Linked DNA regions of Saccharomyces cerevisiae S288C. The gene in region 1 interacts genetically with each later gene. Each region holds a gene or a part of one and is shown on either strand. Other genes may lie near its edges.

Region 1 (7,934 bases):
ATTGCAGATGCAACACTAGCTTGGAACCCAGAAGGTTCTGGAATCAGTGACAATTGCGTCAAAAGAGCTCTTGCCCACCACCAATAAGCTACAGCTAATAATCCAGGAGTAGACTCAGCAGAGATAATAGGTAGCGGAATTTCTTGATCCGGGGTAACATCAAATAAGCTTTTTTGGCCGGTTATCCTTTCAAGTAATAATAGTGATAAAACCAAATACAATGGATCATCCATAAATTCGTAGGCAGGCTGGCCCATAATGGCTAATGAGCGGGAAAGGGCTGTATTAACTGCTCCTATTTCAATTCCAGTTTTGCCAAACAAACCTGAGATTGCTTTCAACCTAGCTGCTGGGCCGGTGTAGTTATTTTGAATAAAGGTCTGTAAGAGGGCAATAGCCAAAAATAGCATCTCATTTTCTTGGCCCATTTTGAAAACCTCAACGTTAAGAAAGTCATTTAGAGCAGCAATAACACTAGATGTGGATATTTCTCCCGAAATACTAATTTTTCCCTTAAATTTGTCCACAAATTGCTGTACTAGCTGGTATGATTCACCACTGATGATATGTTCAGCCTTTTTCACATATGTCTGGTCGAAAGAACCACTTTTCAGAGATTCTACTTCTGCAGACAGCAATAATTTTGCATGCAATAACGTCTCCATAATTTTGCAACCACTAGTTTACTTTTTGCCTGGTCTGATAGCTTCTTTTTAGCAATTCCTTTGGCCTCGATGAGCTTCCATTTTCAATTTTCATCTTTTTTTTCACGATGCGAAGTTTCTTAGATAATTATCGCCATATACGAAACGCGTTAGGAAACGCGTTCTTTCCTTTATAATAAGCAATATTATATCAACTTAAGGTGGAAGTAATGTGGCAAAATCGATAGCGACTATCTAGAACAGGCTAGTTTAAGCATATACATAATGGCAAGTATGTATTAGTGCTAGGAATTGGAGGATTTGCTCTTTTCTGCATCATTTTTTTTATTTTTATTGGCGAATGTTAAAATTACTAACAATGGATGGGATTCCAATACAGCCTATCAACCATATAACGAATATTCATCAGTAACGGGCGGTGGCTTTGAGAACTCTGAGTCCCGCCCAGGTAGTGGGGAGTCGGAAACTAACACTAGAGTTAACACCTTGACACCTGTGACGATCAAACAAATTCTAGAGTCCAAACAGGATATTCAGGACGGCCCCTTCGTTTCGCATAACCAAGAACTTCATCACGTTTGTTTTGTAGGTGTGGTGAGAAACATTACAGACCATACTGCAAATATTTTTTTAACTATTGAGGATGGAACTGGTCAAATAGAAGTGAGAAAATGGAGCGAAGATGCAAATGACTTGGCTGCCGGTAACGATGACTCTTCTGGTAAAGGTTATGGTTCGCAAGTCGCCCAACAATTTGAAATTGGCGGTTACGTAAAAGTTTTTGGTGCTTTGAAAGAGTTTGGTGGTAAGAAAAATATACAGTATGCGGTGATTAAGCCCATAGATTCATTCAATGAAGTGTTGACGCATCACTTGGAAGTCATCAAATGTCATTCCATAGCCAGTGGAATGATGAAACAACCTTTGGAGAGTGCATCCAACAACAATGGGCAATCATTATTTGTCAAGGATGATAACGATACATCTTCCGGCTCCAGTCCGTTACAAAGAATTCTAGAATTTTGTAAGAAGCAATGTGAGGGCAAAGACGCTAATTCATTCGCTGTTCCCATTCCATTGATCTCGCAATCCTTGAATTTGGATGAAACTACCGTCAGAAACTGCTGTACGACCTTGACTGACCAGGGTTTTATCTACCCAACTTTTGATGACAATAACTTCTTTGCCCTATGAAAATATATAGATTATTTTTTTAGCATTTCTTAGTATTCGTTTGTGTATTTCTACTAGGTAAGTACCAAAATTTGCCGGAAATAGAGTGGAAAATGGAACCCGTTCCAAGAAGGGGTAAGATGCATGAATATTAAGTTGGTTGCATAAATATGCTATATAAAGTCCACTACAAAAAGTCATTTATTTTTGCCCGTAAGAATAAAGAACGAATCCGTCCTTATCTCTGACTTCAATGGGAACATTTACACGCAGTACGGGCTTCAATAATAGTTCCCAGTCGTATCTGGTTCTAGGTGTACATAATGAAAAATGTCTCAGCATTCTTATTTTGACAGCTTTGAATTTTGACAAATTTCTCAGGAAACACCAGAGGTTAATATTTGGAATATCTTTAAAATTCTCTGGATCTTGGAAATCATTGAAAAAATTTTCCAATGTCACATTTTGTAAGAACTCCTCCACATCTAAATCTCTATATTCGATGGTTCGGTTCTTCAATTTGATTAAACTATCTCTTAGGCAACGCCTTACAGAGTTGTTCCAATAGTAAGTGTGGTGAATGTCTGATTCAGGGCTCATTACTGTACTTAAATTTGGAACTGCATTAGCATTTGGTATGTTATCTCTTATGGAATTATTTTCGTAACCGATTAATGTTTCTTGATCGTTCTCGTCGCCAACATCCTCATCTGTCTCATCAACACTAGTAATTGTTCTTGCTAGATGTTCCCAAAACGATAGAGGGGATAAAGGATACACATTGGTAAAGGGGATATTGATTACGTTAATAGAAATATTTTTACTTGGAAGTCTCTCCCAAAGTAAGCGGTAATAATGGTAGAAAGAATGAAATTCAGGGATTCTTTGTCGTTGAAAATTTTGTAGCTGTGCCGCAGTTAACATGGCGGGCTTTTTGTTATTGTCTGGTGATGGGTTATTTGAAACATCATTTCCTGTAGTTCTAGAAATATAGTTCAGATTTAAGGACAATACAACTGAAGATGTCGGCGGAGGAGTAATTATCTTCGAATCTGATGGCGCTTCAAATAATGTTTCTGTCATGGAATTGCAGTCATCAAAATCATCTTCTGTATCCAAACTTCGCTGTTGGAAATAATATGATTCGCCGACTACCTGTTCGTTAGTGAAACATTTGCTATTACAATCAATTGTTAGATTGGATAACGATGGGAAACAACTGCATAACAATAAGTCGAATTTACTGTTAATCTTCAGTAAGGATAGATGTTTGACCATTTTAAAGTAAGAGTGAAACAAACGTAATATTCCATTTCCAGGAACTACATCACATGAATCTAAAGTAAGTGCAGTGATAGGAGACTGTAAACTGTACAGTTCATTATCTTCGTTCTTTAGAAATAGTGGTAAGAATTCCATTGGAGTATCTAGCGATTCGGTGTCTATCGTTACATTTTCTAGTTTAAGTTCATTAATTATGCCGAAACAGCAGAATAAACTCGGTCTTAGTACGAGCTTTTGGTGATGGCGTTGACGATTAAAGGTTCTTTGTCTTTTATTATTAGCTTTGATTTCCAGTATTTTCAACCTTGGCAGAGAATAATACTTGGATTCGTATTCTTTGACAAATTTTTTGGATAGTTGGAAAGTCCTCAAATCTTCGTTTGTGATGGATTGCTGGCCCTTGATTATTTTCTTGAAAAAATCTCTAGATCCATCGTTGAATACAGAGTACCATAAAGGAATTTTAAAATTCGGTTCCACATCACTCAGAATCACTCTGGTCAGGTTCGGTAGATAGTCTATAATATCAAGCATTAGCTCAATATAAGTATAATGGAAGTAGTTGCTTTCCAATTTATCAAGCAGTTTGATTCGTTCTGAAGTTATGATGGGAGTCTCATCGTTTAGTCTGATGTTATTCAGTTTTTTTACGTCTTTATCATACGAATCGAGTTTATAAGATCCAGCAATAATAGAATCTTGGCCACTCTTATTATAGAACTTACTGTATTTTAACAACGAGTCTTGGGACTGAGGATTTTTGAATTCGATGGATCTTACGAGGAACCTTGCATTTTGTGATCTAGATTGTGTGCTACAATCACCGCTGTGTGTGACAATGTTCGACGTGTGGAACTCGGAGTGTATCAAAGCATTGAACTTTAACAACGAAAGTTTTGAGTCCAAAATAACGTTTTGGAAAAGGAACTCATTCGTAATCAAATTGTAGAACCTCGAATTGACTTGGCATAGTGTTACTAATGTATTGAAGTCCAAAGTTCGCAGTATTAACAGTAGAACTTTTGTTGGCAAACACATGAGGGACGATTTATCGTTGAAGCGTAGTGATCTCGATTTGATATCATGGCTCGTACTATGTAGAAGGCTTTTGGCATCAGCACAGCCCTCTTCCTCTTCTTCTTCCTCCTTCGCAGCACTGGAGACCAGCGAGAAATATTTTGATCTACCAAACAATTGCAACCGTTTCATGATTCGGTTGGTTTGAACGTTTGAAAATGCGGTTCAACTTTTCATATCTAGCAGTGGCTCATCTTTATGTACTCTAGTCCTAAATCTTCTGCTGGTTATCGCAAAAAAATATGTGATGTGCGGGTTTTTGGCAGTAATCATGACTCAGTCTCTGGAAAAACGTGCTATTTAACGGTTATATATCTATCTATGTACATGCCTGTGCATGAGCTCTTCATTCATTTCTGGGAAGGGTGAGGGAGCTGGGATGCATTTTCTGAGTTGTTCTTGGCATATTTTCCCAGGACGTCCTTTAGCGAATCTGGGATGTCTTCAAACTCCAAGTCGCCCACGTCTTGGCTAACTTGTTCTCCGTTAGCTTTCATTAACTGTTCCACGGTAACATGATGATCATGGAATATTTTCAGATGGTCTGCTATCAAATGTCTCACTTTGCAGTGCGGACAAGAGATCAAGACAGTACCTTTCTCGTACGCCTGCTTGGACATTGTGTGTGAAGATCGGGTGTTACATTTCTTGCAGGTGAAAGCTATCATCATCTTAGGCTTGTCTACCTTAAAAGACCCCAAATGAACCTTCTTATCGTCCTTTTTCACTTCATTATGTGCGATGATATTGGTATGCAACGCTGCTGCGGGTAGAGTACGGCACACGTTGTAGCGTACGCGAGGCGCCCAACATCTGGCAAAGTACCTGGTAATTGGTATTTTACTTTGCAGTAGTGTTCTAGTCCTCGGAATCATGTTCAGTCTCTTGATATTCCAGTTGCACCGGTGCTGCTTTAGTATCGCTGATCCCTTGAAGCCAACATGACGCTCTTTCACCTTTCCTCTCATAATTTTGATATCACGCGAAAATGCAAGAAAAAAAAATTACAATTATGAAGTGCAGAAGGAACCAAAAATATCATCGAAAGAAGGAGTACGTAGAGCGTTACTATTTTCAATCAGTGTTCCCATTGTGCATACAAGAAATGTCTCAACCCCAGATGTCCCCTGAAAAAGAGCAAGAATTGGCCTCCAAGATTTTGCATAGAGCTGAGTTGGCTCAGATGACGCGTCAATTAAAGCTTGGTTTAAGTAATGTCCCATCAACAAAACGAAAACAGGACTCTACAACAAAGAAAAGAAGCGGAGAGGATGCCGAAGATGTTGATGAGGACCACAAAACTCTTTTGGAAGCCATATCGCCTGCGAAAAAGCCTCTCCACGATGATACAAATAAAATGACTGTTATATCGCCCGTAAAATTTGTAGAGAAGCCAAATACTCCCCCAAGTTCACGCCAACGAAAAGCCGAAGACCGCTCACAGCAGATCAAGCCTAGGAAGGAGGACACTCCATCTACTCCGAGGGCTTCTGCTACACCTATAATCTTACCACACGCTTCGTCACACTACCAGCGCCCCCATGATAAGAATTTCATGACGCCAAAACGTAATAATAACAACAGCAGTAACCATAGCAATAACAATAATAATATCAAGAAGAAGGCAGCAGGCTCTAAGGATGCTCCACAGGACAGCGACAACACTGCGGGCGCTGATCTCTTAATGTATTTAGCCACAAGTCCATATAATAAGTCATCACATCATGGAACACCGATGGCCGTAAGGATGCCCACTACTCCACGCTCTTATCATTACGCGTCGCAATTGAGTTTGAACGGTAATACAGCAAGCACATCAAACGATGCAGTAAGATTCTCTCATATCAAACCTTCAGCGTCTTCTCCGCAGTCCACTTTCAAATCTAATCTGTTACCGAATTTTCCGGACGAATCTCTCATGGATTCTCCATCACTATACTTGAGCAATAATAACGGTAGTGTCCAGGCGACACTATCGCCACAGCAGAGAAGAAAGCCCACCACAAACACATTGCATCCACCTAGTAACGTACCTACCACGCCTTCAAGAGAATTGAACGGTACCAATTTTAACTTACTCAGGACGCCCAACTTCAACATGGGAGACTATCTGCATAATCTTTTCAGCCCTTCACCAAGGGTCCCCGCCCAGCAGGGAGCGTCAAACACGTCAGCTTCAATTCCTTCTGTTCCAGCGATGGTGCCCGGATCATCTTCCAACACTTCTGCGATAGCAACAGCTGCTATATCAAGCCACACCACAAACAATTTTCTAGATATGAACGCAAACGGGATCCCGCTCATTGTAGGACCCGGCACCGACCGTATAGGCGAAGGGGAGTCCATTGATGACAAACTCACTGATTGATCGTTGACGGCCATATCAGTTGATGATTCCATACTTCCTGAAATGGACCACTCAAAGGGACAAAAATGACAAATGTTGAAATTATAAAATTACATATTAATACGTAAAATGACATTCTTTTTTAGGGAAATTCGGAGATAGATTATCACTATGTAAGCTTATGTATCGTAATATACAGGGCCGATATTTCACCTAGTTTACTTTTTCTGGTGGCCTTTATGTTTATGACTGTGCCCCCTCTTGTGTTTGCTTTTAGAGGCTTTCTCTACAGGTATCAGTATGGTGTCCTCATCCTTCTCCCCTGCCTCTGCTTCGACTGGAGCTAACCCATTTTCGTTCTTAAAAGTTTTCTTCCTCCACTCTCTTAATCTTCTTGCCTTCATCACTTTCCTTTTATCCTTCGCTCTTAGTTCCTTGGAACGATAAGGTGCAAATTTCTTCAAACCAATAAATTCATTTAAATCAGTATCATCGGCGGCGAAAATCTCTCTTGCGGTCAAACCGAAACTCTCAGGAGAAACTTCACGGTAACGAAACTTCAAATCTTGCTCCTCTTTTGTACGGCTTCTACTCTTTCTTTCTTCTTCTTCTTTTTCAACCTCCTCTATTAGTGCTAGTTTGTTTTGTTCCAAAGCATTTTCCACTAATTCATTTACCTTTCTCTTTTCTTTCTTCTTTTGCAGTTTCTCTTCTTTCTTGCTCTTCTTTCTTTTTGGACCTTCTTCCTCGTCTTCTTCTTTTTGTTCTTTTTCCACTTCACCTTCTTCTGTTTGGTCATCACCATCGGCGTCTGCATAAAAGTCACCCATTATTTCGTCATCCTCGTTCCAGGTAGGCTTTCCCTCTTGTTGATAAAATTCTTCATTAAATAATTCAGCTACCACGTTATCCCACTCTTCTTCTTTGAAATCGTTCTTCAATAGGGTGTCAGTGATTTTTTTCACCATGTCGGCATTAATTTCAGCACCATATTCCTTTGTTAGTTGCTCTAAAATGTCAGTCAATTTATTCAATTTTTTAGTCTTCTTTTTCTGAAGAGCTGTCTCCTTCTCTGCTTTTATTTGCTCTTTAATTTTTCTTTTTTCCTCTCTTTTTCTTCTGCGTGAAGAGTCATCGGATCTTCTTAGTGTAGCTTGACTACGTGCATAAGATATAATTTCAGCTGCGTTTGGGTCCTCGTACCTAAAATTGTAGGCATTCTCAAATTTTTCTGCAGCATCTTCAAATTCTTCATCGTCCTCTTCATTATTGTTGAGGTCAAGAGAAATCACCTTGTCCCCCTTCTTAGGAATCCAGGCCTGTTGATTCACAAATTCTTCCAAGAAATTTTCTTCATTTACGGTTGGATCCGGTAAATTTTTTCCTTC
Region 2 (9,173 bases), on another chromosome or scaffold:
GTACGACTGAAACTTTCTTTTTGGATTTTCGAAGAGAGAAAAATTAGTTAGCATAAAAAGAAATATAAAAAAAAAGGAAAGGAAAAGTGTTCGAGACTTTACCATACAAAGAAATATTACGGTAGAAAAAAGAGCTGCACTTACCCAATACATATTGATGAGGTAGTATTCACGGTGAGAACAACTTACATCAACACCTCAGTTTGCCGAATCTGCAGTGATATTGTATCCAAAGTCTACTTTTCATCCTCATTTACTGTCATTACAGAAATTTGTCAGGAAAAGCAACCGGGTAAGGGAACTTTCAGGGCCAACGCGAAAAAAAAAAAGGTCCATCCATAGATTTTTTAGAAGATACACACCGTGAATTGATTAGAGATCATAGTAACCTCAAAATATACAATGTCTTAGATTGGAGCAGGCAGAAATATCTATCAGAGCACAAAATGGCTAGAAATAGAACAACCTCCAAGAAAAATGTTCAAAGTAAACGCTTAATAGACAGAGTGGTTCCCATGGACAAGATTAAAAAAGTTGGCGTAGCGAAAAAAAAAACCGTAGAACACACTAAAGAAGGATTTAGCGTTGTCAACGGTAAGCTAGTAAGCAGCAATGACGTCGGTGTACTGTTAAGAGAAGCACAGGGTGCTATCGATAAAAGAACTAATGTTTCCCAAAGAAATAGGAAAAAGGGAATAAAGAATAATAGGCCCCACAAAGACATAAACAGCAGTCCTGACTGGGGCAATGCCCACAGAGGAACCGATTGGCAGAGCGAAAAAGCAAACGGCATGAACAGGGCCAAGAACTCTCGGAATTTTACCACTAATATTAAATTGCAGCGACAACATTTTGGCGAAGAAATACAAGGTGGCAGCCAGCTTGTGATATCTACAAATTCAGATGCTTCAGATAAATTGTTAATGCTATTCAACCTAACTTTGGGAGTAAACCAAGAAAACTTGAAAAATGTTCTGGAAAACATTTCTCAGGTGCAGATAGCTCAAATTAGGGTTAGAGACCTGCCTTCAGGATCTGCCACCGCTAAGGTCCGTCTGGCATATCCTACAACACAGTCTTTGGAGAAGGTAAGAAAACTGTTCCATGGCGCTCTAGTTGATGGAAGGCGCATCCAAGTGGTGATTGCATCTGATGAATCGTCCCACTTGTCGTATTAGAGTTTGTCAACGACACTCACAAGGTATTTAATCAGCAAAATCCCCGCCACAAACTATTTTTTTGAAGACATGCTTTCTCATGACTGCCTAATAACAATACCTCATTCTACTAGTAATCGACCTATGTAATTATTTCATAAACTATAAAGCAGGTCATTGCAATAACAGAAAGGCCGGTTTTTCTATAAGCTTATCTCATCGCATAAAAAATCGACAGTTGTAATTATCTCCGGCGGACTTTTCCCTTTCCGTCTTTTTTTTCAAAATTTTTTTTTTTTTCACTTCTTCTTTCAAAGCTGCCTCAAAAGAGATATATATATTGGTAAGAATCCTCTTCCAATACTAGCTTCATTTCTTCTTGAACCATGAACCCGTTATTCTTTTTGGCTTCTCCATTCTTGTACCTTACATATCTTATATATTATCCAAACAAAGGGTCTTTCGTTAGCAAACCTAGAAATCTGCAAAAAATGTCTTCGGAACCATTTAAGAACGTCTACTTGCTACCTCAAACAAACCAATTGCTGGGTTTGTACACCATCATCAGAAATAAGAATACAACTAGACCTGATTTCATTTTCTACTCCGATAGAATCATCAGATTGTTGGTTGAAGAAGGTTTGAACCATCTACCTGTGCAAAAGCAAATTGTGGAAACTGACACCAACGAAAACTTCGAAGGTGTCTCATTCATGGGTAAAATCTGTGGTGTTTCCATTGTCAGAGCTGGTGAATCGATGGAGCAAGGATTAAGAGACTGTTGTAGGTCTGTGCGTATCGGTAAAATTTTAATTCAAAGGGACGAGGAGACTGCTTTACCAAAGTTATTCTACGAAAAATTACCAGAGGATATATCTGAAAGGTATGTCTTCCTATTAGACCCAATGCTGGCCACCGGTGGTAGTGCTATCATGGCTACAGAAGTCTTGATTAAGAGAGGTGTTAAGCCAGAGAGAATTTACTTCTTAAACCTAATCTGTAGTAAGGAAGGGATTGAAAAATACCATGCCGCCTTCCCAGAGGTCAGAATTGTTACTGGTGCCCTCGACAGAGGTCTAGATGAAAACAAGTATCTAGTTCCAGGGTTGGGTGACTTTGGTGACAGATACTACTGTGTTTAAATAAATCACACCCGAACACCATCTTGAAGGTTCAGAACGGCTGAAGCCGCATATCAACTTTTGGTTTCTACTGTTTTAAATTTCCTTTCTCGTTTTAAACCTTTGTTGCCGTCTCTTCTACTATCAATTTTGTTGTTCATGCATGTTTAATTACCTTTTTTTGTAAAAATAATATAAACGTATCAATGGCTATTTATAACAAATATGCTTGAAAAATCTAACGACTCTGTTTCTTACATTAGGTTCGAATAAACACGGGTACTGTCCTCTAGCCAATCTGACTTTTTGGTCCAAAGTCTTTGAAAGGTAGATAACCCCGTTAAAATAGAACCACCAATCCATGTAGTATATTTTCTTTCTGAAGGGGCTATAATCTTTATCTTGGATGTTCCTTTGGTTAATGCCTCCAAATCCCATAGCATTCGGTCTCCAAAGCCTTTAAGCGTTGTAGTTCCGCCACTTAGGATTATCGATGACAGTAAAGGTTTCCTTAAATCCAGATCGACTTTCCAAATAGATTGCATGCACATATCAGATAATCCATCGTACCCTAAGCCGATGATTTGAGGTGAAAATAATATTTCTGGAGCACGATATCGATCATTCCCCACCTCTATACACCTCCCGTCGGGCAATTTGAATGTCGAGATTAAATCTTGAGTACCTTGTAAGTATTTCTCCTCTTCCTTTTTAATATTCTTGGCCAAATAACAAACTTTCTCTTTCATCGTGCGAACAATCTCTCGTTCACTGCTGGAAAACAACGAAACACCAGCTGATTTCCGTAGTTGAAATTGTAACTGCTCTGTGATATCTGCTCCTCCAATATCCATCCTCATCATAGACGCAGGTAATGCAAAGCCGTCATATATGGGAACAGTGCTACAGTATCCTTCACCACAGTCAACTACACAACCTGTAGTTCTCCCACTAGCATATAATGACAGAACAGCAGGGTTTGAAACGTACAAAGCCGATACGTCAAAGGTCTCGAACAATACTTGAGCCATCTGCTCTCTATTCTTCAAAGGATTCATCGGGGCTTCCGTAATTAATAAAGGATGCTCACCTATATTTTGCAACTGTAGGACTTCATTTAACACATATGACCATATTAGTTCCATAGAATCCCAATCTTCCACCACGCCGTGCTTTATGGGGTATCGTAATTTTAATAATCCACGCAGTTTTTGGGCATTGTTTCCAATAAATGTATCTCCTTGCAGACCTTCGAGCATAACTTTATCATATTTGGTATTTCCTACGAGACAATATTCCAGTGCTTTAGGCCTTTCCTCACCACTAAATCCTGCTTTTATGATCCCAGAACCATTGTCGATCACTACCGGTTGATTGTACAAAGCATAGCTGTCACTTAGCTGGTCCATTGGCTAACTTTCTTTCTAATTCCTCAATTCGTGGTATAGCATTAGCATGTACTCCTTGGTCTATGCCCTTTTATTAATTTGCTGTTTTATTGGGAATATCTGCTATTTGCTTCGCTATTATTCAATAAAGGTGTTTATCATTATTGATGTGCATCGCGAAAATGGCCACTTTGGAAATGAACTTTTTCTTGAAAAGATTAATACAAACGGAAAAAGAGAAGGCAATAGGAAACTCACCGTCACACAGGTGTACTGTGTCCTTTGCTTTGAGCTCTTGTTCAGAACATTATGCTACTTAGCATTCTTTTATGAGCTTTTTTCTGTAGTCTTATTATAGGTTGATGAAAGCGTTACCTTCAAGAAATGATTTTTAACGTGGTATAATAAACACTGTTTATCATGGTAAAACAGGTATTTCTTTTATTCTTTGGAATTACCAGACGATACCCATTCAAAATTCAACTTCTAATCAAACGTTGATCAATAAATACTGTATTATGTTGCTTGTTTGAAATTAGAGGCATTGCCTTTGTTAAATTGAAATATAAACTGGAAAAATGAAGCGAAAATAAAGTACTGTCTATAAACAAAAACCTTAAAATGATTAATGTTAACCTTTCTGAGCAACGAAGCAATCCATACGTATTGAAAGCTTTAGCTCTTGGAGTACGGTGTCGAGAAATCGAAGTAAGACCTAGTAGAAAATCATTAGTTTGTATAGACTAGTCAATGACAAAGTAATAGTTGAAAACAATACTGTCTTAGTTCGCAACCATTTATATATATTTAAACTTATTTTTTACAGCCCTTGCTAATTCCTGATGCCAAGTAACGAGGGGCAAATCATCTGAGTATATACGTACATATACATCAATGATGCCAATCGGAAATGCTTTAACATTTCTGAAGAATTCTTTAAAAGGTTACTATTTTTACTCAATTCGAGAAAATGCAAAATATAATTACCCACTTTTATGTAAACATCGGTGTCAAAATCGTGAAATATACCGAATGATAATGTTGAAAAGAAACTCAAGTGCAAAAGAAAAAACACGATCCAAAGTGTATAGAATGAAATAAAAAAGAAATAGAAAAACTCCTCATCATGTAGCATATATCCGATGATAATATATATACTTTTAGTCATGATATTAATTCTGCAAAAACAAGATTACTGCATCACAGCTTATGCAGTAATCTGTCCATCATCATCGTCATCGTCGTCGTCATCATCATCATCATCATCATCGTCGTCGTCTTCGTCGTCGTCATCATCATCATCATCGTCGTCGTCGTCATCATCATCCTCACCATCATCACCGTCACCGTCGTCCTCCCCATGATCTTCAGCGTCCTTTGTTGTTCCAACAATTGCATTCTTATTTTTACAATTAAGTTCTATCAACGCCGTAGGTCCCACGATGAAGCCTTTTAAAAAATGATTCTTCTGCTTCTGTAAGCTCTGGCGGTTGCTAAAGTGAATTTTATTACTTGTTTCAAAGGTTGGTCCCGAAACTGGAATATAGATAACCTTACCCAAACAGTCGTTACTATCTAGAAATGGTTTGATGCACTTCAGAGAATCCCTCAAATAACGCCTTCTTGAAATTTCCTTAATAGCTGGTTTCCATTTAATATCATCCGTTCCGTAAGGTATATTGGAGAAGCAACTTAGAGTAGAAGATGCTCGCCTTCGATTTCTTATTCGTTCTTCAATTAAACATGAATAATCACTTTCACTGCCATAAGCATAACCAATATTACTGTCATCAGTATCATCATTAGTATCATCGCCAGCATATTCATCGGTTTCACCGTCATTTTCGTCCTCATCGGTCTCAGTAGCGCTTTCATCGTCATTGATTTCAGCGTCACGGTTTGTGAGACATAACGACCTACTGCTTTGGGATAAATCTGTGGCGGATTCCCCATTAGGAGCTAATCCTGATAGGTATATCGAAGAGCTTTGAGGTTTAGGTCTAATAGATGCCTCATCCCTTTCATTGGCTACCAAATTCGACGCAACACTCCGTAATTCCTCTTTCATAACCGCATTTTGTGATTGCAGCATAATCTCGCAGCCATCAACGGAAAGATGCTCAATAGGAGAGGGTGAATGAACTGATTCACCCACTGTGCTATTTGGAAATTTGATGGGGACAACCTCCTCGCTAATTGCACGCCTCAATGACTGTCTTTGGGGCATGGAAATAGCTCTATTTCTGTGCATTGGACGCTCTACTTTAATGGTGGTATTTACTGGAACACCAGGCTCTGGATGATCTCCCCCGCTTGATTCATGGTGTTCATCATCTTCTTCCGTTTCAATAACACTATTTAAGTTACTTGAGTTGGACCTGAGTCTGTGAAGCTTTTCTGTGCGTGAAGAATTTTTAGGCCTGAAAAAGTTCTTAATTTTAAATTTTAAACTTCTAGATGCAATCGAACGGGAAGCTGAGCAACCAGATAATGACCTTGTTGATCCCAGGGTACTGTTATCACTGGATTCTCCTGATGCAGCCGAAGATATCAATGCCTCTGTAGGCGTCTTTGAGAGGCCAGTGCAGTAATGATCTAGTAGACCAGCTGTGAAAGTATTCGAGCGTTCCCTGATAGTTGTATTGTTATTAGTGCTAGACCCGGTACTATATCTTTGGATTAAGTCCGGTCTGGAATTCGAACGAATGAATCTCTGCGAAAAAGACCCCATCGAACTCTCACTTCTATGAGTGTGTCTTCTTCTCCTCCTTCTCCTCCTTCTCCTTCTCCTTCTTCTGGGAACAATTCGATAATCTGGATACTCCCTGACTTCCAAGTCCAAAGACACAGATATCCCGATTGATAGGTACATAGACCAGTCAATCATATCATCTATATGAGAGAACCGTAATAAAAACTGTTCGCTTTCACAAGACATTCTTAACACAAAACTCTTCTTGGTATAATCCGTTGGTATCCCAAATCTTGCATTTTGTAAAGTGAAAGACTTGTAAAGAGCTTCATCGGTTAAATACCGCGATCGATCACGTTTCACTCTATAAGAGATCCGTTCTTGATCTGCTTTTTTAAACTCCGAAGCTGATCTCGTCGGTAGAGTGAAGAGACGGTGATGCAGATGTTGTGATTGATCACTGCGATGGACCAAGTCACTATGAATTCTATCCTCTTTTTCAGATTTTGTTTCCCCGCTTGAATAATTCCTAATGTGTTTCGTCAAAGATTCGTCAATATGGTAAAAATTTAGTTGAGTCGAATTAATTTCAATGATGAAATTCCTCCAGCTCCTGTTACTAGAAATTTCATAAGGTGAAAGCCTTTCCAATTTTAAGGATATCAACGTCAATTCATATACTGCAGGTGCATACAAAGGAGGGAGAGAAGACTTTGGGCATGGTGCCGTGTCACCAAATATAGGAAAGCGGACCTCTTTATTGGGATTTACTAGATCATAGCTCGGTGGATAAGCAGGGAGGGGATCTATATGCTCGTAAAGATCTTGCTTGATGAAGAGAGCAGCGTGAGAAGAGGACGAAGCTGCAGTTTCCTTGATAATATTTATCTGACCAGAAACACCTTCCCGAGGAAGTTGACGCATGGTCTCTAAACATATAGAGCTGCTGTTATTGCTTGAAGTAATGAGAACCTCGTCCATTGAGCATGTTGATGAAGACGAGGGTGATTTTAACCTTTCGATCCTATTATTTGCCATGGATAATTTGCCCTCTATTGGCAGAGCCATCCTTAACAAACGAACAACTTGTATGCACGATGTCGGATCAAAAATATACTGTGGCCCCAAGAAACAACGATTTCTTTTGTGCTGGTCAACAAAATTGTAATCTTTTCGGTGGACCCTATTATGAAACTTTTCTCTTTTTTTTTTTTCTTACTGTAAGACAGTTAGATGCACCCACCTCACTGAAGCTTGATGATTACGACTAAATTAAAAACGCGGATATACAACTAAGGACTTACAATGTTGATCTCCTGAGTATTGTTAATGTCCAAAATGACCGAACAACAGCGGATAACGATATATATCCTTCTTGCAATTATAAAGAATCGTAAGATAACTCCGTCAACGATGATGTGGAAATTATGACCCTCTTGGAGGCTTAATCACTAAAAAGGAGATGAAGCCTTCAAGTCACATCAAAATAATCGAAGCCAACACCAAAGAATTTTACAGATTGGTTCTGCTCATGTTAGGGGGTGTATGAGCAGATAATCCAAGTTAAAATAATTTTTTGGAGAATATAGAAGAAAATATATAAGGTTTTGCTTTTTCTAGATTTTATATAGGATAGGGTATTACTAACTTGTAATATAATGTATACCGTGGTATCCATTATATCTCTGGGTCTAGTAGGAAGTCACAAAAGTACTTTAAAGCAGCATAAGTTTCCTTTCCAACTGGCTTGATGTTTTCTGGAGGCAATAAAAATCCATGGTTCCCTGTATCCCGTAATTTCAACTGGAATGCCCAATGTGCTCTGTGGTGGTACATGAAGTCCAACGCAGAACCTGCACCGAGGCCGGGGAATATGTCGGAACCACGGTCCTTACATGCGGAGATTACGTCGTAGTTTCTACCTGATTTTGAACGGATGGCCTTGGATAAGCCATATGATAACTCCAACAAATTTTCTAAGTCTCTGGGCAAGGCATCACACGAGTATGCGTAGGGATATAAAATCTCCTGTGAATACGAATGCATGTCAATGTAGCCATAAATTTTGTAATCGCCCTTGGTTTCATTAATATACTTGTACCAAGCAGATGCTTCCCAAGCTTCGAAGGGCGTTTCCCCACTATACTCTTCGCTGCAAGCGTGGGTGTGTGCCTTTTCCCACTGGAAACCAAAGGAATGATCAATGTCGATACCAAGACATTGAGGAACATGAGTCCTTTGACGATTCTTACGCCATAGTCTGTCATGCGACCACGTATATGCGTATCCGTCTGGATTGAACACAGGTATGACTAAAAAGTCCAAATCGTCCAGGTATTTGGTTTCCTTCTTAGACGAACCATATCGATTTAACAACTGATAAAGTGCCCAACAGACGGTACTGACACTGATCCACTCTCTGGCATGTATACCACCTGTGATAACAATAGTCTTCTTTTCCGGGTTTGATTCTGGCTTGTTTCCGGATATATGCAGAGCTTTTAGCTCTCTGCCTTCAAATGTCCTGCCCAAGTGTTCCACTGCAACCAAACTGGGAAAGCTTCTTTCTAGAAGATCCAACCACATATAAATAGTATCCAGGTCCCTGTATTCGTTAAAGAAGAAATCGTAATCATTTTCAAAAACAGCCTGCTCACGTGCCATCATCTGACTTGTAGGCAATGTATTTTGTATCAATTCATTCATGTTATCTATGATCACCTGCCCATCATTTATCTGCTCACCTATTTCTTTAGGCAACTTAATATCAATGAAATTATTGCTTCTCGTCCATACATCATAATCATCTGTCAGC
Region 3 (8,644 bases), on another chromosome or scaffold:
ATTGTACGTGTATGCTGCATGTGATTGATTTTGAGGTGGTATCAAGCGAGCCAATGCAATTTCGAAAGTATTCTCCTCAATTCTTGAATCATCAATCTTTTTCAAAGAATCAATGATTGGCTGAATTTGGTCCATTAACCTATTTAATTTATCTTGCTTCTCTTTGTTTTTTTTACCAGAATCATCTTCCACCAACGGTTCATCACATAGGGAACATAAAAATTCTGTCCTATCAAAATTCAATAATTGTACAGCTTCCAATTGTGTGTACTTGGTCAAACAAATCGGACACATGTAACCATTAGGTTCTGAATTTTTGTCCAAGTCATCCTTCAATCTTTGTACGACTTGATGGACCTTCCATTTGATTGCGTCAATAGCATGAGGATATTTTACATAGTAGTAAACTCTTTCCACACTTTTTGAGTTTGGAGGGTATTCTCTTTGTTTGTGTATGGATATTAACCTGTCTGATCTTAGTCTAGCAATTAGCGGCCCCAGTTCCGTCTTATTTATGCTCAACAATTGTTTCAAGTCATCTTCAGCTAGGACCGAGTGAAATAGTATAGCATCGAGTACCAGTACAAAGGAGCCACCATAAAACCCCCTAACGACGAACTTTAAAAGATTTTTCACAATATCATCTATAGGTCTATCCATACTCTACTCACTGCAGCAGCTGCTTCCAGTAGTTTTCTATCTTTGGCTCGATTAGGACGAGCAATCATGCTGCCAAGTTTACACTTAATTAGCTTTTTTCCTAATCTTGCAAGAACCGCTTAGATAATCACTACACACGGTAACGCTTAGTAAAAAACCAAAAAAAAAAACCAAGTATTATTACGTATTAACTCACCAGACTACAATAGTAACCTGAAATTCGCCCATGGTACAATTTACACTTCCAAATTTTTTTGTTTTTTTATCATTTGGACATCCTTTGCCCTTCACCCAGTGTCAATCATTACAACAATTATAGCGATTCATCACAGTGCAAGGATCACTCTTAACGAAGGAAGAAAAGTTAGAAAAATTTCTCATATGTTTCGCGTTTATTTTCGATACCAATTCGTTTCGATGTGTGCAAATTGAATATTGCATCGTGCATTGCAAGGTTTTTCAAATTCTTGCGTCTTGTCAACCGTTCAAGGCGATTGAAAGATATTCACTGCATATCTTCTTATACGAAAAGCATCGAAGAAAAAACACCCATACAACCAAGTATAGACGGAACAATTCGGGTTTTTACTCTTCCCTAGGCGGTTTAAATCGGATATATGAAAAGAAATCAAAAAAAAAAAAAAAAAAAAAAAAGAATTGGCGCATTTGAAGTTTTATTATCGTACGCGTTATTGTTTGCGCTAACATCGCATCGCATCAGCTGACTGAGTGACTGAGTCCCCTTGGCTTCGACTCATCATCGCCTTTCTATGGTGAAAAATTTTCGCAATTTCCTATTACTGTACCGCGTATGCTCCATTTGACTTCCTTTGGTCTACAGCTTTAGCGCTATAGAGTTTCGAAGTCGTACCCGTTACCGGCATGATTGACATATTATATATATATATATATGCGTATCTTTATACTTACTCGTATATTGTGTCCAGCTTCGGATATTTGTGCTTTTGAAACCTACAACTTTTAACGAGTTTAGTGCACATAAATACCAAGACAAAAGGTAGAAATACGGTTATGCTTAGAACCAGACTATCCGTTTCCGTTGCTGCTAGATCGCAACTAACCAGATCCTTGACAGCATCAAGGACAGCACCATTAAGAAGATGGCCTATTCAGCAATCGCGTTTATATTCTTCTAACACTAGATCGCATAAAGCTACCACAACAAGAGAAAATACTTTCCAAAAGCCATACAGCGACGAGGAGGTCACTAAAACACCCGTCGGTTCTCGCGCCAGAAAGATCTTCGAAGCTCCTCACCCACATGCCACTCGTTTGACTGTAGAAGGTGCCATAGAATGTCCCTTGGAGAGCTTTCAACTTTTAAACTCTCCTTTATTTAACAAGGGTTCTGCATTTACACAAGAAGAAAGGGAAGCGTTTAATTTAGAAGCATTGCTACCACCACAAGTGAACACTTTGGACGAACAACTGGAAAGAAGCTACAAGCAGTTATGCTATTTGAAGACGCCCTTGGCCAAAAACGACTTCATGACGTCTTTGAGAGTACAGAACAAAGTCCTATATTTTGCATTAATAAGGAGACATATCAAGGAATTAGTTCCTATCATTTACACCCCAACCGAAGGTGATGCTATTGCTGCCTATTCCCACAGGTTCAGAAAGCCAGAAGGTGTGTTTTTAGACATTACCGAACCTGATTCCATCGAATGTAGATTGGCTACATACGGTGGAGACAAAGATGTAGACTACATCGTTGTGTCGGATTCGGAAGGTATTCTGGGAATTGGTGACCAAGGTATCGGTGGTGTACGTATTGCTATCTCCAAATTGGCATTGATGACGCTGTGCGGTGGTATTCATCCCGGCCGTGTGCTACCTGTGTGTTTGGACGTCGGTACTAACAACAAGAAACTAGCCCGTGACGAATTGTACATGGGTAACAAGTTCTCCAGAATCAGGGGTAAGCAATATGACGACTTCTTGGAAAAATTCATCAAGGCCGTTAAGAAAGTGTATCCAAGCGCCGTTCTGCATTTCGAAGATTTCGGTGTTAAGAACGCTAGAAGATTACTAGAAAAGTACAGGTACGAATTGCCATCATTCAACGATGACATTCAGGGCACCGGTGCCGTCGTGATGGCCTCGTTGATTGCTGCTTTGAAACATACCAACAGAGACTTGAAAGACACCAGAGTGCTTATTTACGGTGCCGGGTCTGCGGGCCTCGGTATCGCAGATCAAATTGTGAATCATATGGTCACGCACGGCGTTGACAAGGAAGAAGCGCGCAAGAAAATCTTCTTGATGGACAGACGTGGGTTAATTCTACAATCTTACGAGGCTAACTCCACTCCCGCCCAACACGTATACGCTAAGAGTGATGCGGAATGGGCTGGTATCAACACCCGCTCTTTACATGATGTGGTGGAGAACGTCAAACCAACGTGTTTGGTTGGCTGCTCCACACAAGCAGGCGCATTCACTCAAGATGTCGTAGAAGAAATGCACAAGCACAATCCTAGACCGATCATTTTCCCATTATCCAACCCTACTAGACTACACGAAGCCGTTCCTGCCGATTTAATGAAGTGGACCAACAACAACGCTCTTGTAGCTACCGGATCTCCTTTCCCACCTGTTGATGGTTACCGTATCTCGGAGAACAACAATTGTTACTCTTTCCCAGGTATCGGTTTAGGTGCCGTACTATCGCGTGCCACCACCATCACAGACAAGATGATCTCCGCTGCAGTGGACCAACTAGCCGAATTGTCGCCACTAAGAGAGGGCGACTCGAGACCTGGGTTGCTACCCGGCCTGGACACCATCACCAACACTTCTGCGCGTCTAGCTACCGCTGTGATCTTGCAAGCACTCGAGGAGGGAACCGCCCGTATCGAGCAAGAACAAGTACCGGGAGGAGCTCCCGGCGAAACTGTCAAGGTTCCTCGTGACTTTGACGAATGTTTACAGTGGGTCAAAGCCCAAATGTGGGAGCCTGTGTACAGACCTATGATCAAGGTCCAACATGACCCATCGGTGCACACCAACCAATTGTAGACGAAGCATAACCAACGCCTGCACTTAAAAAAAAAAAACCATATAGAGTAATATATAAATATATATATTTGTACAATTTTTTTCTTTATTTTTAAAAAAAAAATAATACTTGACATACCGTAATAATAATAATAATAATAATAATAATAATAATATAATAATAATACAATAATACAATAATAAAAACAATAACAACAGCAACAATAGCACAAGAACATTAACCCAAGCAACTAGCAATAACAAGAACGGTAATTATCAAAACAAAATATGATACCAAATGCGGAAAAAATCGGCACATATCCATAAAACATACACATCGTGCTTAGCGATCTACATACCGTGGAGGAATGGGTGGAACGGTTACTGACGACGGCCGCGCGGGGTTTTGTGTTGGGTGTGATGTCCGGATGCAACAGCAGCAAAGGAGAGGCGCAGCGGACCTTCCTTACTTTCTTTTTCTTCTTTTCTTTTCCACCTCCCCTTGGTGAGAGAACGAATGGGAACAAAAAAAAAATGCACACATCAGCTGGTGGAGCCAAGTATAGACACGGCCCGGCGCATTCGTTCTCTCTCTCCTTCTGTCTCTCGTTCTCGCTGTAAATGTGGTTTACTTCGTTATCCTCTGTACCGTAATCGTACTGCATTGTATTCTGTTTCCTCTACTGCTAGGTCACTGCCTAACAGCTACTGCTACCGAGACTGTGACGCTGAAGTTTATTCGCTCTGATATCCCACAAAGAACTCTATTACACACAGACAAGGCAAGGCAACGCAAGTCAAGGCAAGACCACAACTATATCCCCTTCTTCTATCCATTCTGTGATATACGTACGACGCTAACAGTACCCACAACTGCAATGAACACCGGTATCTCGCCCAAACAGGACGACGCCTCTAACTCCAACTTACTCAACATAGGCCAAGACCATTCGCTGCAGTATCAGGGTCTCGAACACAACGACTCCCAGTACAGAGATGCTTCTCACCAGACACCTCACCAATACTTGAACCAGTTTCAAGCCCAGCCTCAACAACAACAACAGCAGCAGCAGCAGCAACAACAGCAACAACAACAAGCGCCTTATCAAGGTCACTTCCAGCAGTCGCCTCAACAACAACAGCAAAATGTTTATTATCCACTACCTCCACAATCTTTGACGCAACCTACTTCGCAGTCGCAACAACAACAACAGCAACAACAACAACAACAGTATGCTAATTCGAACTCAAATTCAAACAACAATGTTAATGTTAACGCGCTACCTCAGGATTTCGGTTACATGCAACAAACCGGATCGGGCCAAAACTATCCGACGATCAATCAACAACAATTTTCCGAGTTTTACAACTCCTTTTTAAGTCATTTAACTCAAAAACAGACAAACCCTTCTGTCACGGGTACAGGCGCGTCTAGTAACAACAACAGTAACAACAACAATGTTAGTAGCGGCAATAACAGCACTAGCAGTAATCCTGCCCAGCTGGCAGCCTCCCAATTAAACCCTGCCACGGCTGCTGCGGCCGCCGCAAACAATGCTGCTGGCCCGGCTTCGTACTTGTCTCAGCTCCCACAGGTGCAGAGATACTACCCGAACAACATGAACGCTCTGTCTAGTCTTTTGGACCCTTCCTCTGCAGGAAATGCTGCAGGAAATGCCAACACCGCTACTCATCCTGGTTTGTTACCACCCAATCTGCAACCTCAATTGACTCACCACCAGCAGCAGATGCAGCAACAGCTGCAATTACAACAACAACAGCAGTTGCAGCAACAGCAGCAGCTACAACAGCAACACCAGTTGCAACAACAACAACAACTTCAACAACAACATCATCATCTACAACAGCAACAGCAGCAACAACAGCATCCAGTGGTGAAGAAATTATCTTCCACTCAAAGCAGAATTGAGAGAAGAAAACAACTGAAAAAGCAAGGCCCAAAGAGACCTTCTTCCGCTTATTTCCTGTTTTCTATGTCCATAAGAAATGAGTTGCTTCAACAATTCCCTGAAGCAAAGGTCCCCGAATTGTCTAAATTGGCTTCTGCAAGGTGGAAAGAGTTAACGGATGATCAAAAAAAACCATTCTACGAAGAATTCAGAACCAACTGGGAGAAGTACAGAGTTGTGAGAGATGCTTACGAAAAGACTTTGCCCCCAAAGAGACCCTCTGGTCCCTTTATTCAGTTCACCCAGGAGATTAGACCTACCGTCGTCAAGGAAAATCCTGATAAAGGTTTAATCGAAATTACCAAGATAATCGGTGAAAGATGGCGCGAGTTAGACCCTGCCAAAAAGGCGGAATACACTGAAACTTACAAGAAAAGATTAAAGGAATGGGAAAGTTGTTATCCCGACGAAAATGATCCAAACGGTAACCCAACCGGTCACTCACATAAGGCCATGAACATGAATTTGAATATGGACACTAAAATCATGGAGAACCAAGACAGTATCGAGCACATAACCGCAAATGCCATCGACTCAGTTACCGGAAGCAACAGTAACAGTACCAACCCAAATACGCCCGTTTCTCCTCCGATTTCATTACAGCAGCAGCCGCTCCAACAACAACAACAACAGCAGCAACAACAACAACACATGTTATTGGCTGACCCCACTACAAATGGTTCGATCATAAAAAATGAATAACAAATAAACAACTTTAGTTTTCCACTGTAACATTATCCCACGCAAACAACGAGAATAAGGAATTCCTTTTTCAACATTTGTTTTATATTGTACTACTCTATTTCCTATTACTACAAATTTTACTTTATTTAATAATAATTTTTCTTTCCCTTTTTCTAACTTCAGTCTATATGTATTTGCCTGTATACATATACGCATGTGTGTAGTCTTCCCTCCTTCTTGTTTTTGTAATATACTTAAGCCAAATTCAAGTTTGCCTCTGATGCTGTGCGAGCTCAACTGACGAGCGTGATGAAGCCAAAAAAATTAATTGATTTCGCCCAGGATCGAACTGGGGACGTTCTGCGTGTTAAGCAGATGCCATAACCGACTAGACCACGAAACCTATTAATCTGTAAAATTGATCATTTTAAAGTGGCATAGTTGTACGATACACAAGGGCGACTTATCAACTTACACATAAAATATGTTTGAAACATGTCAGAAACACTCGTTACAAAGCAGACAAAATTTATTACATCAAACGATACCCTGCCTAGACAAACCAGTTAAACGTGTAAATACCTGGACAACTAGTTTAGTTCCGAGATTCTGCGCTTCCATTGAGTCTTATGACTGTTTCTCAGTTTTCATGTCATCTTTTGACGCCGCATGGGATAATGTGTACTAATAACATAAATACTAGTCAATAGATGATATTACGATTTCACTCCAACAAAGGTGAGTGCTAGTCACCACCCTAAGGATATTAGGATTGTCAAGATGCCCGCTATTACTGGAGCCCTTAGTATAACGGATATTTTCAGGATAGCAGACTTACTTCTCCAAGTGTAAGGGAACTCCGAATCTAAAGTAGCTACTGCTCCTCCATTCCGTGTATATAATCTTGCTTTTTTTTAGGAAAATACTAATACTCGCATATATTGGTTATTATCATTACTTGGACACTGTCTGTTCTATCGCTTCATTTGTAATATGCGTATTGCCCTTCTTATTAATTGCTAATATTTCACCTGCAACATAGTCCCTGTTGATTAACGTGTTTATCCATTTCAATCATGAGAAATGTTTCTTCTGTTTTCCAATGCCTGGCCGAGCTGGTAATATATATATATATATGTACATAATACTTTATTAGAATATATTGTTGATGATTAGTAGACAAGTGGTACTACCAACCGAGAATAAAAGCTGGTCTTCTTAATATAATATGAGATAGGTATAAATAGCAGTCACCGATATCATTGGTTACCCAAAGTGACAATTCATGTCTTTCATAGATATAAATCGTAAGCTAAAATTGAATTAAAAGATCTTTAATTTAGCTGCCCTGCTAATTCTGAAGTCACATATCATTCCTCATTCTGGATCACTCATAACATTTATTGTCTAATTACTTATTGTAATCACTATAGTCACTGGTGTGAACAATGTGAGCAATAATAAACCACTGTATTACCATATACAAATGCATATGTTTAGCCACATAAGTTTAATTTATATTTCTTATTTTCCACACGATATCCCCCACTATCAATGACATAGATGATATTTTCTCCACTGGAACAACCTGAATACAACAATATATTATTTGTTCAAGTACCGCTTCAGAAATTAAATACTCTGTAATTTTGACCCCTTCTAGCACCATATGTACCATCGATACTAGCGCATTTTCAGTTACTGGTGGGAATTTGACATGCTTACTAATCGATTTTTTCTCATGGTTGTGCACCGTTGGATCAATCCTCAGTTCTTTCAATATAAAAGAATCCTGACACAGTTTCTGCCAAAGTTCAATGAATCTCTTGGCGACAAAATCACCAGAATATTTTATCATCTGCTCCACGCATGAACATGCGGGCTGAACGATCGAATAATCAGAGCATAGGACGCACTGTATGATGGAGTCCCATGTACTAGCAACCTCCCTTATCAACAGATTATGCTGTGTTGATAGCAAGGGAAATATAAGCCTCATAACAATAAGAATTTGCACTCTTAATCGTTTTGATGGATGGGTTAATAATCTTTCCCCATAACCCAAAATTTGCAATAGTATTTTGTATGAATCTGATGGTATAGGTGAGGTCCACTGGTCAGTATACTCTTTAGAACTTCCTTCCACCTCTTCTTCTCTTTCTTCTTCATCGTCGTCGCTATCTGGCTCTCTTAATTTGGAGTCGAAATATTCTTGAAAATTACTGGGCTCATTATCATCCTTCAAAAAATCGACGTCGTTCTCGTCTGTTATGTCATCTTTAACCTGTGTCTCTTTATCTAGTATATTG
Region 4 (8,123 bases), on another chromosome or scaffold:
GCGGCTGAGGTAGGTGTCACTGCCAAGAAGATTATTACGAATGTTCGTTTTGATCAGCCCAGGGTTCAAACCGAAAGTATCTATATTCGTGTATCTGTCTTTAGCGTCTATGACCAGACTTTCATTGGCTGCCACAGTGTTCATATGTGTAGCGTAGGCACTATACTTCTTTTCATCAGAATTCAAGTCATCTGGGTCTCCCACCTGACCATTTCCTGGAAACCCTGCTATGAAAACTTTTGGCAAATCGTCTTTTTTTGTCCTACTAATTCCTAATCGCTTCGCCACATCATGGAAGATAATGTATCTACTCAAATAGCTCACTGCCATGTCTTTTTCCAAACCCTCACTTGTAGCTTGTCTCTGGCGTGATGCAAAAATACCCGTAGTGAAAATCAGATGTGTTAACTCCTCGTAGGGAATTTCATCACTATGAGATATACGCTTGCATTCTGACACTAAACTTAAATCAGCCTTGACAAAGTTAATTTTATCTTTTAGGTCCTCGTCCCTAAAAGTTTGCCCGACAACAGTAACCCTGGCATTTCTTTGGGCCAGCTCTCTACTTATTGCACGTCCAAGTCCACCTGTGCCACCAATTATGGCCACATTAAAACGACTAAAATCAATGTCATTGATATTTTTTCTTTCCCAACTGACGGTGGGATCCTTTTTCCAGAACATCCTGCTAAATGCGCCAATATACTATTATTAGTTTTTCCTTGATACGTGGTAATATTCTGTTTGTTGGTTCACCTTTTCATTCACTTGAATTGTTTTAAATTTTGTATTTATACCTCTGCCGATTATTCCTCCCCTAATTGATGATTGCAGATTATGTAATATATATACATATATGGACGAGGCCCCTAATTGAACAACAAAAATAAAAAGTGTAAAAACATGCTAGTCTCTATATTGATAAAAATACGTATGATGTCCATATAAACTATACGTCATGCAGCTGAAGGAATCTAACTGAATACTTAATAGGTTTCTATAAATTACAAATGTTTGTATTATTTACGCCATCACGCTCACCTTCTTCCCCATCGTCCATTAGAGAATCGGTTTTTCTTTGGCAGTTTTAGTCTTCTGAAGTTATTGCTCACTAGATTATACTTCTTTCTACCCTTTCGCTTAGCCGTAGGCTTTTGCTCTGAGCTTACAACGCCGCTGCTTGCCTCCGGATCATGTTCAAATTCAGTATCAGAGATTTGTGAGGTGGATCCCAAAAATTCTGCCACTTTCCTTCTTTTGAGTTTCACCAGCTCCTTATGGACATCTCTCTCAAAACCTGCGGTCTCGGTTTCTGGATCATTGTCTCGTAATCTTCTGATAACCTTTCTTCTTTTGGGTCTCTTTCTTATGAAGGTATCTTCCCTTGCTTGGCTATCATCATTATCATCATCCTCTTGAAATATGTCCTTCACAACTTTTGGTCTAATTAGTTCATCTTCTAGCCCAAAGTCGTCTTCGTGGTTTTTCTCATCGTAACCATTCTCGCCTTCTTCTCCTTCCTCTTCCTCTTCAATATCTTCTTCCTGTAAGACACCAAATTCTTTTACAATTTCAGTATGTTCCCTGGCCAATTCTATCAGGGATTTCGTCAGTGGTCTTCTAATGAGTGGAGACGGACTAAATGAAGTTGAAATATCCGCTTGATCCTTTGAGGGAGTCTTCTGTAAAGATGGATATGCTATTTGAAGCCGGCGTTTAGTGCTTGAATTAAGTGAGATGTTTAGGTGAATGTTTTCTTCATCCAATTTTAGCGGGGAATTAGGTCCATAATACCCCGATGGTTTGCCAGATTCTAGTGGAGGATTAATAGTTGGACTACATTTCTTGATTTCTACCAACTTCCCATTGCGATTCTTGCATGGTGATGAAGTCGGAGTACGTGTAGAAGAAGCGTTTAGCATTTGAAAGTTTAATTGGCGTTTCACACTGGATATTGGTTCCGCCACTAACGTACGATCTGCAGGCGACGATTTTAGGAGAATAGTTTTTCGTGGAGAAGATTCATTAGAAATTGTCTTGGAGTTATCATTGTTAACATCAATATTATTTGTGAATGTCATGTATATAGGCTTTATAGGCGACAAATTCATGTCAAAGATACTAATCGCCTTACCGTAAACTTGGGGAGTAGGGCCTATCTCTACGACTTCGTCGTGGTCTTTTTTATGTGCCGGGAGTTCAACCGACTCTTGAGTGTCAACTTTTTGTCGTTGCAAAGATTGTTTCTTCTTCAGTGTGGAATATTGTTTATACATCTGCCGAACAGTCCGCAGGCTCTTGATGTCATCCCTTGTGGGTTCCCTTTTATTTTTATCAATGAAATCATGCTCCCATGTTTTCAGCTCAATTTTCAATTTGTCCAGTTCAAATGAGTACATCGAACTACAGTTATCGCCTCACTAGATAGATTTCCCTGTCCTGTGGAGCCTGATGTAAATCAAAATTTGATTTTATCATTTTTCTCTTGACGTGTTTCACCATACGCGTAAACGTGATGTGATATACGGAAGATATGTAAAAAGGAAGCAAAAAAAAAAAAAATGAAAGTAAACGGATATGTGAAAATGCTCTTAGGTAATTTGAATATAGTGTATGTATGAGAATAAATAACTAAGTACCAGAAACGGTATATAAATAAAAAAAAAATAATGGCCTTCCAGACCCATATTTGTTTTTCATTTTAACTTTTTTTTTATGATAAAGAAAGAAAAAAAAAATCATTAACATCATTAAAAAACAATCAAAGTTTTGTTTTTTTACTTTTTTTTTTTGGAATTTTTGTTGTTGAAGGAAAAGGACGCCTAAGCAGGCGAAGAATACTATCATTACCCATAATAAGAATTTTTTATTGTATAATATCATTTTGTTTTCGTGATTTTTAGTTGTTTTCGTTTTATTGCAACATGCCTATTTCAAAATACTTGTACCTTTAAAAAATCGACATCTTCGTCAAGGTCGTCGATGAAACTGCTTTGATCAAGTTCATTGGTGGCAGTTGCATCATTGTTGTTATCGTTTAAGTCATAAAGGTTAGCGTTCGACTTCGACGTAGAAATTTTTTTGGATTTCAGAACTTTGGTGTAGTCGTCATCAGTACCGGCACTACCGTCAATACCGGTATCGTTGGAAAACATGAAATTTTTAAAAGATCTGCCATTGTTACAGTCCTGCTCTTCCATCAACTCTTCTAGAGTTGGGGGCAAATAAGAAAACTTATTGTCAGCCAAAGTGATTTCTGAACCTAACTCGTCATGGTGATGCGAATCAGCGCTTTCATCCTGATCCTGAAGAAACAGATAGGTTTCATCGTTCTTTGCTTGGATGTTCGCCTTCTCAGAATTAGTATTTTTTTTCAAAGCACGTGATGAATCTTCTTGTTGTGAACTTGAACTTGGTAAATAATTCCAAATGTCTTCTTCATCTGGCTCAACCTTATCATCTTGCCCTGAAGATACGGTTTCCTCCAAAATTGGCAGATTCAATAAAGACATATTATCGTCATTGTCCACTTGTTGGTAATTGCCACTGTTCTTACCTGTTGTATCGTCCATAGACTGTAAGTAAGAATTCCAGAGATCATTATTTTCGTTAACGTCGTTATTCGTGTTGACTTTGGCATACTTATTGAAAAACTCAAGTTTCTCGAAATCGTTAAAGAATTTAATCTCGTTCAAATCCTCAATTTTGTCCTTAACTTGCAAATTAGTAGGCAAGGAGTGGTTTCTAATCAACGAGACTGAATCTGCTGGAGAGAAATCTGCTGGAGAATCAGGGAATGAAGCCTTATGAGGGATCTTATGAAAATTTAGGTTCATGTTCAAATCTTTTGTCAACTGTGGGACCGGAGTGGCCGATGAAGATGTGGAAGATAAGGACAATAAATCAAAGTCGTTCAACTTTGATTTTTTCGTGGGTGGTGCGTGAACATTTGAAGAAGAATCTATATGATGGTTTTTTGTTAGCAGACTGTTGTGAGCAGCAATGGTTTCCACATCGGTGCAGCTTTCATCGTCCATGAATTCTGATTTTTTTCTATTTCTATAACTTGAAAAAGATGGAGATGAATAAGATGGAGATGAAATGGAGGAGGCAGAAGAATGAAACTTTTCATTTTCCAAGTCATCGAACTTCAAAAATGCGAGGTAATTCGAGTCGTTTATTAGCTTTTCATCGATTGTCTGGATATGTCTTGGTATTTTCCTCTTTTCTTTGGAAGCTTGTTTCCTATTCGAAATGATGTTATTATTATTATTATTATTACTACTGTTCCTGCTGTTAGGGCCAACATTTAAAATATTATTGGTGTTGTTGGCAGGTAGAGTGTTGTGAGAAGATGATCTTCTACCAGGTCTTGGTCTTGGGGGCAAAACCCAATGTTTTGAAGTTCTAACCACCAAGCTAGACTTCTTCTTCTTTTTACTGCCATCGTTTTCGAATTCCAGCGAACTATTGTTATGATGGTTGGTATTTGGGGCGATCGGTACAGGCGCCAATGGAATATTATTATGCTCATTTTTAAAATGGTTACTACGAGGGCGACTAGCGGAGGCCTGTAGTAGAAAAGTCTTTGCGGTCATGATTCTTTTTTTGTTTTTTTTTTGTACTAGAAAATGTAGGTAAAACAAATCAGCAACCCATTAAAATGCTCTTTGATGTACTAGGAGACCAATAAATATGTGTGGAAAAAAAATAAAACTGTGTTTTTTCTCTTCCTATGCGTTTGATAATGATCTGCTCAAATAAATAATGACCCTTTTTTATTTTTCTGGTTCCTTTATAGTAGTATTTTTATATTATTAAGTGTAAAGTGGACCTGTAGATAGCATATACGATATAAAACTGGGGTTTAGAGAGGTGAAGGAATTAATAAAGGTAAAAAAATTAAAAGGAAAAAGGAGATGGACCTAAACAACCACACGGGGTTAAGCAAGAAGAAATTGATATAGGAGATTAGTTAATAGCTTTACAATATATATAATTTATCTAAAAACGATCTCATACTCAATAAATTTTTTTAGAGTAGTCTCGGAAAGAAAATAGCAATCCATTTACTTTTAGAACAATCTGCAAAATCGATACATGACACTTGGAAGCAACTGTGAAAAGGCTACGGCCATTGCTTACCGCGTGCAAGATCCGTAACATAAGAAAACTTTAGTCCTTGATGAAAGAAAATTTTCGTTTTTTTTTTCAGGTTCAGCGGGCTTAACCTCGTTTGCCGCCTCGGCCCCGCTCCGTTGTGCTGGCCATCTGTGCGCGGCGGGCTTCCCCCCCGTCGCTACTTCCGGATTAAACTTTTAGACTTCGGACCCCTGCCCCGGGGGGTTTCTCTGAACGCCGGGGTAGTGGTCCAAAGCCCACGAAACGCGTGTTCCTCTCAGCGGCATTGGAGTGAATAAAGCCCGCAGGACAGCCTTTTTTTTCCGGGCTGCACGACCGAATCAACTTGTCGCTCTATTCCTCCGTTGTTCCCGATTTGTAGCTCGGGGCCGACTCGCTTTTTGGCCAAGAAAATTGAGGAAAGCCCGTATTGCGGAGAAGGTTCTTATGTATTTGCCGTGCGATCAACCTCCGGGGCCCGGGTTTCAAATTCCGGCAATCATCCATGCCTAGTTTTGGAAATTCTCAGCAGAGGTTATCCCGTAAGGTGAAAAAAAGACATAAACGGTTTTTGCCTACAGTTTCCGGCAAAATAGTGATCTCATAGTACATCACTACTGCGAAGTCACCGGCCCGTACAGAAAAAGTATATCTTTAAATAGCGGCCCTACCTCTGCTTCTACCTACTTCATATTCGAATTCTTTTCTCGCCTTCCGCAGTGTTTCGCAAATCTGGACCTACGCACTAAATCATTTATGATTGTTCTCTCTTTCACGTGATAAGGTTTGCATTCTATTCGTTACCCTATTAATTATTACTATTTTTTTCAGCATGAGTTTTATTTCGCACATAAAATGCATCTATTTCTGGATATTACTGTAGTTTTCTTTGCTTTTCGCCTACCGCGCGGCGAAAAGTCGTATCAATCAATATGTGCCACTGCTATCATCCCTTGATAGAGTACAACGTAAAAGAGGCATTGTAGCATATTCACCCCGCTTGATAACTAGATTTTTTAGGCAAGAGTTGCGCACAGCGTACTGTGCACTACGGTATACAGAATTACACAATTGATACTTATTCTCTCCTTCATTGTTGCTCTGTTTCCGTTGTTTAAACTTTATCCAAAAACTCTGTTTTCTGTTTATTGAACCCCTTGCTTTCGCAAGCAAGCCCGACATATACGAACAGAACTGGGGAGAGGGAGTCTTATGCTGTACAACTCATGTAACCCCCACTATCTCAGGAGTTATATTAAATCAAGGCACGCCAGTGCTGCCTCTCTTGGTACGACAAACAAGTTTTTCCCGATTCTAGGTATTGCATTACATAATATCAACCCTTTGTTGTTTTCTTTTGATTTTTGAAAAGAAATATCTCATACCAACCGGAAAGGAAAAAGGACACAATTTGGGAAAATAGGCAATTTATTATGTACACAAGTCATAACCAAGAAAAAAGTAAGGGTAAAACAAGCAATTACTGAACTTGTTTCATGAGACTCATATCCAGAAGCATATTTATATAAGGAAATATTAGTTGCAAATCATTATGTCATTCCTTTCGCACACCCGATATGCTAAAAACAGCATACATGCACACTGCGCTTGGCTTGGACATATTCTCTCTGCATATGATGGAAAAAAAATCTTTTTTTTTCTTTTTCTTTGACTTTTTGCCGTTTTGTCATCGTCATCGCGATGGAAAAAGAAATGAAGAATACTTGATGAACAGGTGAAACTTGAACAATAACGTATCAGAATGAGGGTAAAGGGACCTTGTAAAACTTTTGAAAAAACTAAACAGGCAATTTAGTAAGAAGATGCCACTGGTGCTTTTTACGGGATACCCATGTAGTGGTAAGACAACGCTTGCTAAACATTTGGTACAACTACTACAGTCCAAGATCGATGCAACCCCATCATTAAGTAAATATTCCATAACCTATCATTCAGATGAATCTTTAGGCATAAAACATTCAGATTATATAACTTCCCAAGATGAAAGAAAATTGAGGTCGGAGATCATCTCCGCAGTGAAAAGAGATCTATCTAAAAACAAGATAGTCATTGTAGACTCGTTGAATTATATCAAGGGTTTCCGGTATCAACTTCACTGCGAGGTGAAAAATTTGTCCACCACATTTTGTGTAATTCAAACACTGTGTCCACCAGAGACTATATTCGAGTGGAATAAGACTTCAAACCCGAACCCTTGGGAACCCGAGTTATTGAATCAATTGATTCAACGATACGAAGAGCCTAACTCAAGCAACCGATGGGACTCTCCACTCTTTGCTATTCTTACTCCTCAGGACAACATAACTGACTACATCGACGATATTTGTAAAGTAGTCTTTCAAACTTCCAAATCGGCTAAAAACAGTGGACACAATGATCCGTTGAGTAAGGGCTTACAAAAACCGAACTCAGCCACGGTACTAAAGCCTGCGTCTCAGTCCAATTTCATCCAGGTTCTCGACATCGAAACTAGTAAGATAATAAAAACCATAATGAACCACATCAAAAGCCTGACTTCTATTGGCGGGGTAAGTAACGGAACAAGAGTCATTGTTTCCGAAGGGATTACCGATATCAATGATGATGGTTGCTTCTTCGTAGACTTGCCCATTGGTAACGTCGTTACGTTGGCGCAATTGCAGAGATTGAAAAGGCAATTCATTAACTTCAACAAACTAAGAGATATAGATCAAGATAGGATCGGTCCGCTTTTCGCTGATTATCTTAACAAAAACTTGAATTGAGATATACATGTGATTAATATCAGAAGGTAAATGGCAAGACGAAATTTGCTTGTTTATAATACAAAAAAACATACATAAGATATAATATATATTTCAATAGAAAAGAAAAAGTATAGAAAAGTGAATAAACAAAAGAAACATGAGAAAAATAGCTCGTCTTCTCAACTGGGTATCTATTGACCTCTTAATTCTGGTTGAATGTTTTCATCAGAAAGGTCTTCTTCATCATCGGCTTTC

The links.
Region 2: mutations in STB1 (region 1) and YHR131C together harm fitness more than expected from each alone (negative genetic interaction), as found in Saccharomyces cerevisiae (2 studies listed by BioGRID).
Region 3: mutations in STB1 (region 1) and IXR1 together harm fitness more than expected from each alone (negative genetic interaction), as found in Saccharomyces cerevisiae (2 studies listed by BioGRID).
Region 4: mutations in STB1 (region 1) and HAP4 together harm fitness more than expected from each alone (negative genetic interaction), as found in Saccharomyces cerevisiae (3 studies listed by BioGRID).

What each region holds. Positions count from the first base shown.
Region 1 is NC_001146.8:47,358-55,291, forward strand, and holds STB1 (Stb1p), read left to right. Parts: upstream 1-5,304; coding exon 5,305-6,567; downstream 6,568-7,934. Other genes in the region: tetratricopeptide repeat-containing protein EMW1, read right to left, coding at 1-665; RFA2 (Rfa2p), read left to right, coding at 930-936, 1,045-1,859; putative SCF ubiquitin ligase complex subunit SKP2, read right to left, coding at 2,040-4,331; ZIM17 (Zim17p), read right to left, coding at 4,550-5,074; KRI1 (Kri1p), read right to left, coding at 6,765-7,934. UniProt on the Saccharomyces cerevisiae protein: Involved in the regulation and timing of MBF-dependent transcription in late G1 of the cell cycle.
Region 2 is NC_001140.6:360,467-369,639, forward strand, and holds YHR131C (uncharacterized protein), read right to left. Parts: upstream 7,427-9,173; coding exon 4,874-7,426; downstream 1-4,873. Other genes in the region: YHR127W (uncharacterized protein), read left to right, coding at 447-1,178; FUR1 (uracil phosphoribosyltransferase), read left to right, coding at 1,649-2,299; ARP1 (actin-related protein 1), read right to left, coding at 2,533-3,687; YHR130C (uncharacterized protein), read right to left, coding at 4,499-4,834; ECM14 (putative metallocarboxypeptidase), read right to left, coding at 8,036-9,173.
Region 3 is NC_001143.9:377,774-386,417, reverse strand, and holds IXR1 (DNA-binding transcription repressor IXR1), read left to right. Parts: upstream 1-4,559; coding exon 4,560-6,353; downstream 6,354-8,644. Other genes in the region: transcription factor TFIIE subunit TFA1, read right to left, coding at 1-660; MAE1 (malate dehydrogenase (oxaloacetate-decarboxylating)), read left to right, coding at 1,693-3,702; TTI1 (Tti1p), read right to left, coding at 7,846-8,644. UniProt on the Saccharomyces cerevisiae protein: Binds to platinated DNA and confers sensitivity to the anticancer drug cisplatin. Activate the expression of the COX5B gene.
Region 4 is NC_001143.9:228,702-236,824, reverse strand, and holds HAP4 (transcription factor HAP4), read right to left. Parts: upstream 4,599-8,123; coding exon 2,934-4,598; downstream 1-2,933. Other genes in the region: YKL107W (putative short-chain dehydrogenase/reductase), read right to left, coding at 1-684; SLD2 (Sld2p), read right to left, coding at 1,038-2,399; KTI12 (Kti12p), read left to right, coding at 6,945-7,886; DNA-binding protein ABF1, read right to left, coding at 8,060-8,123.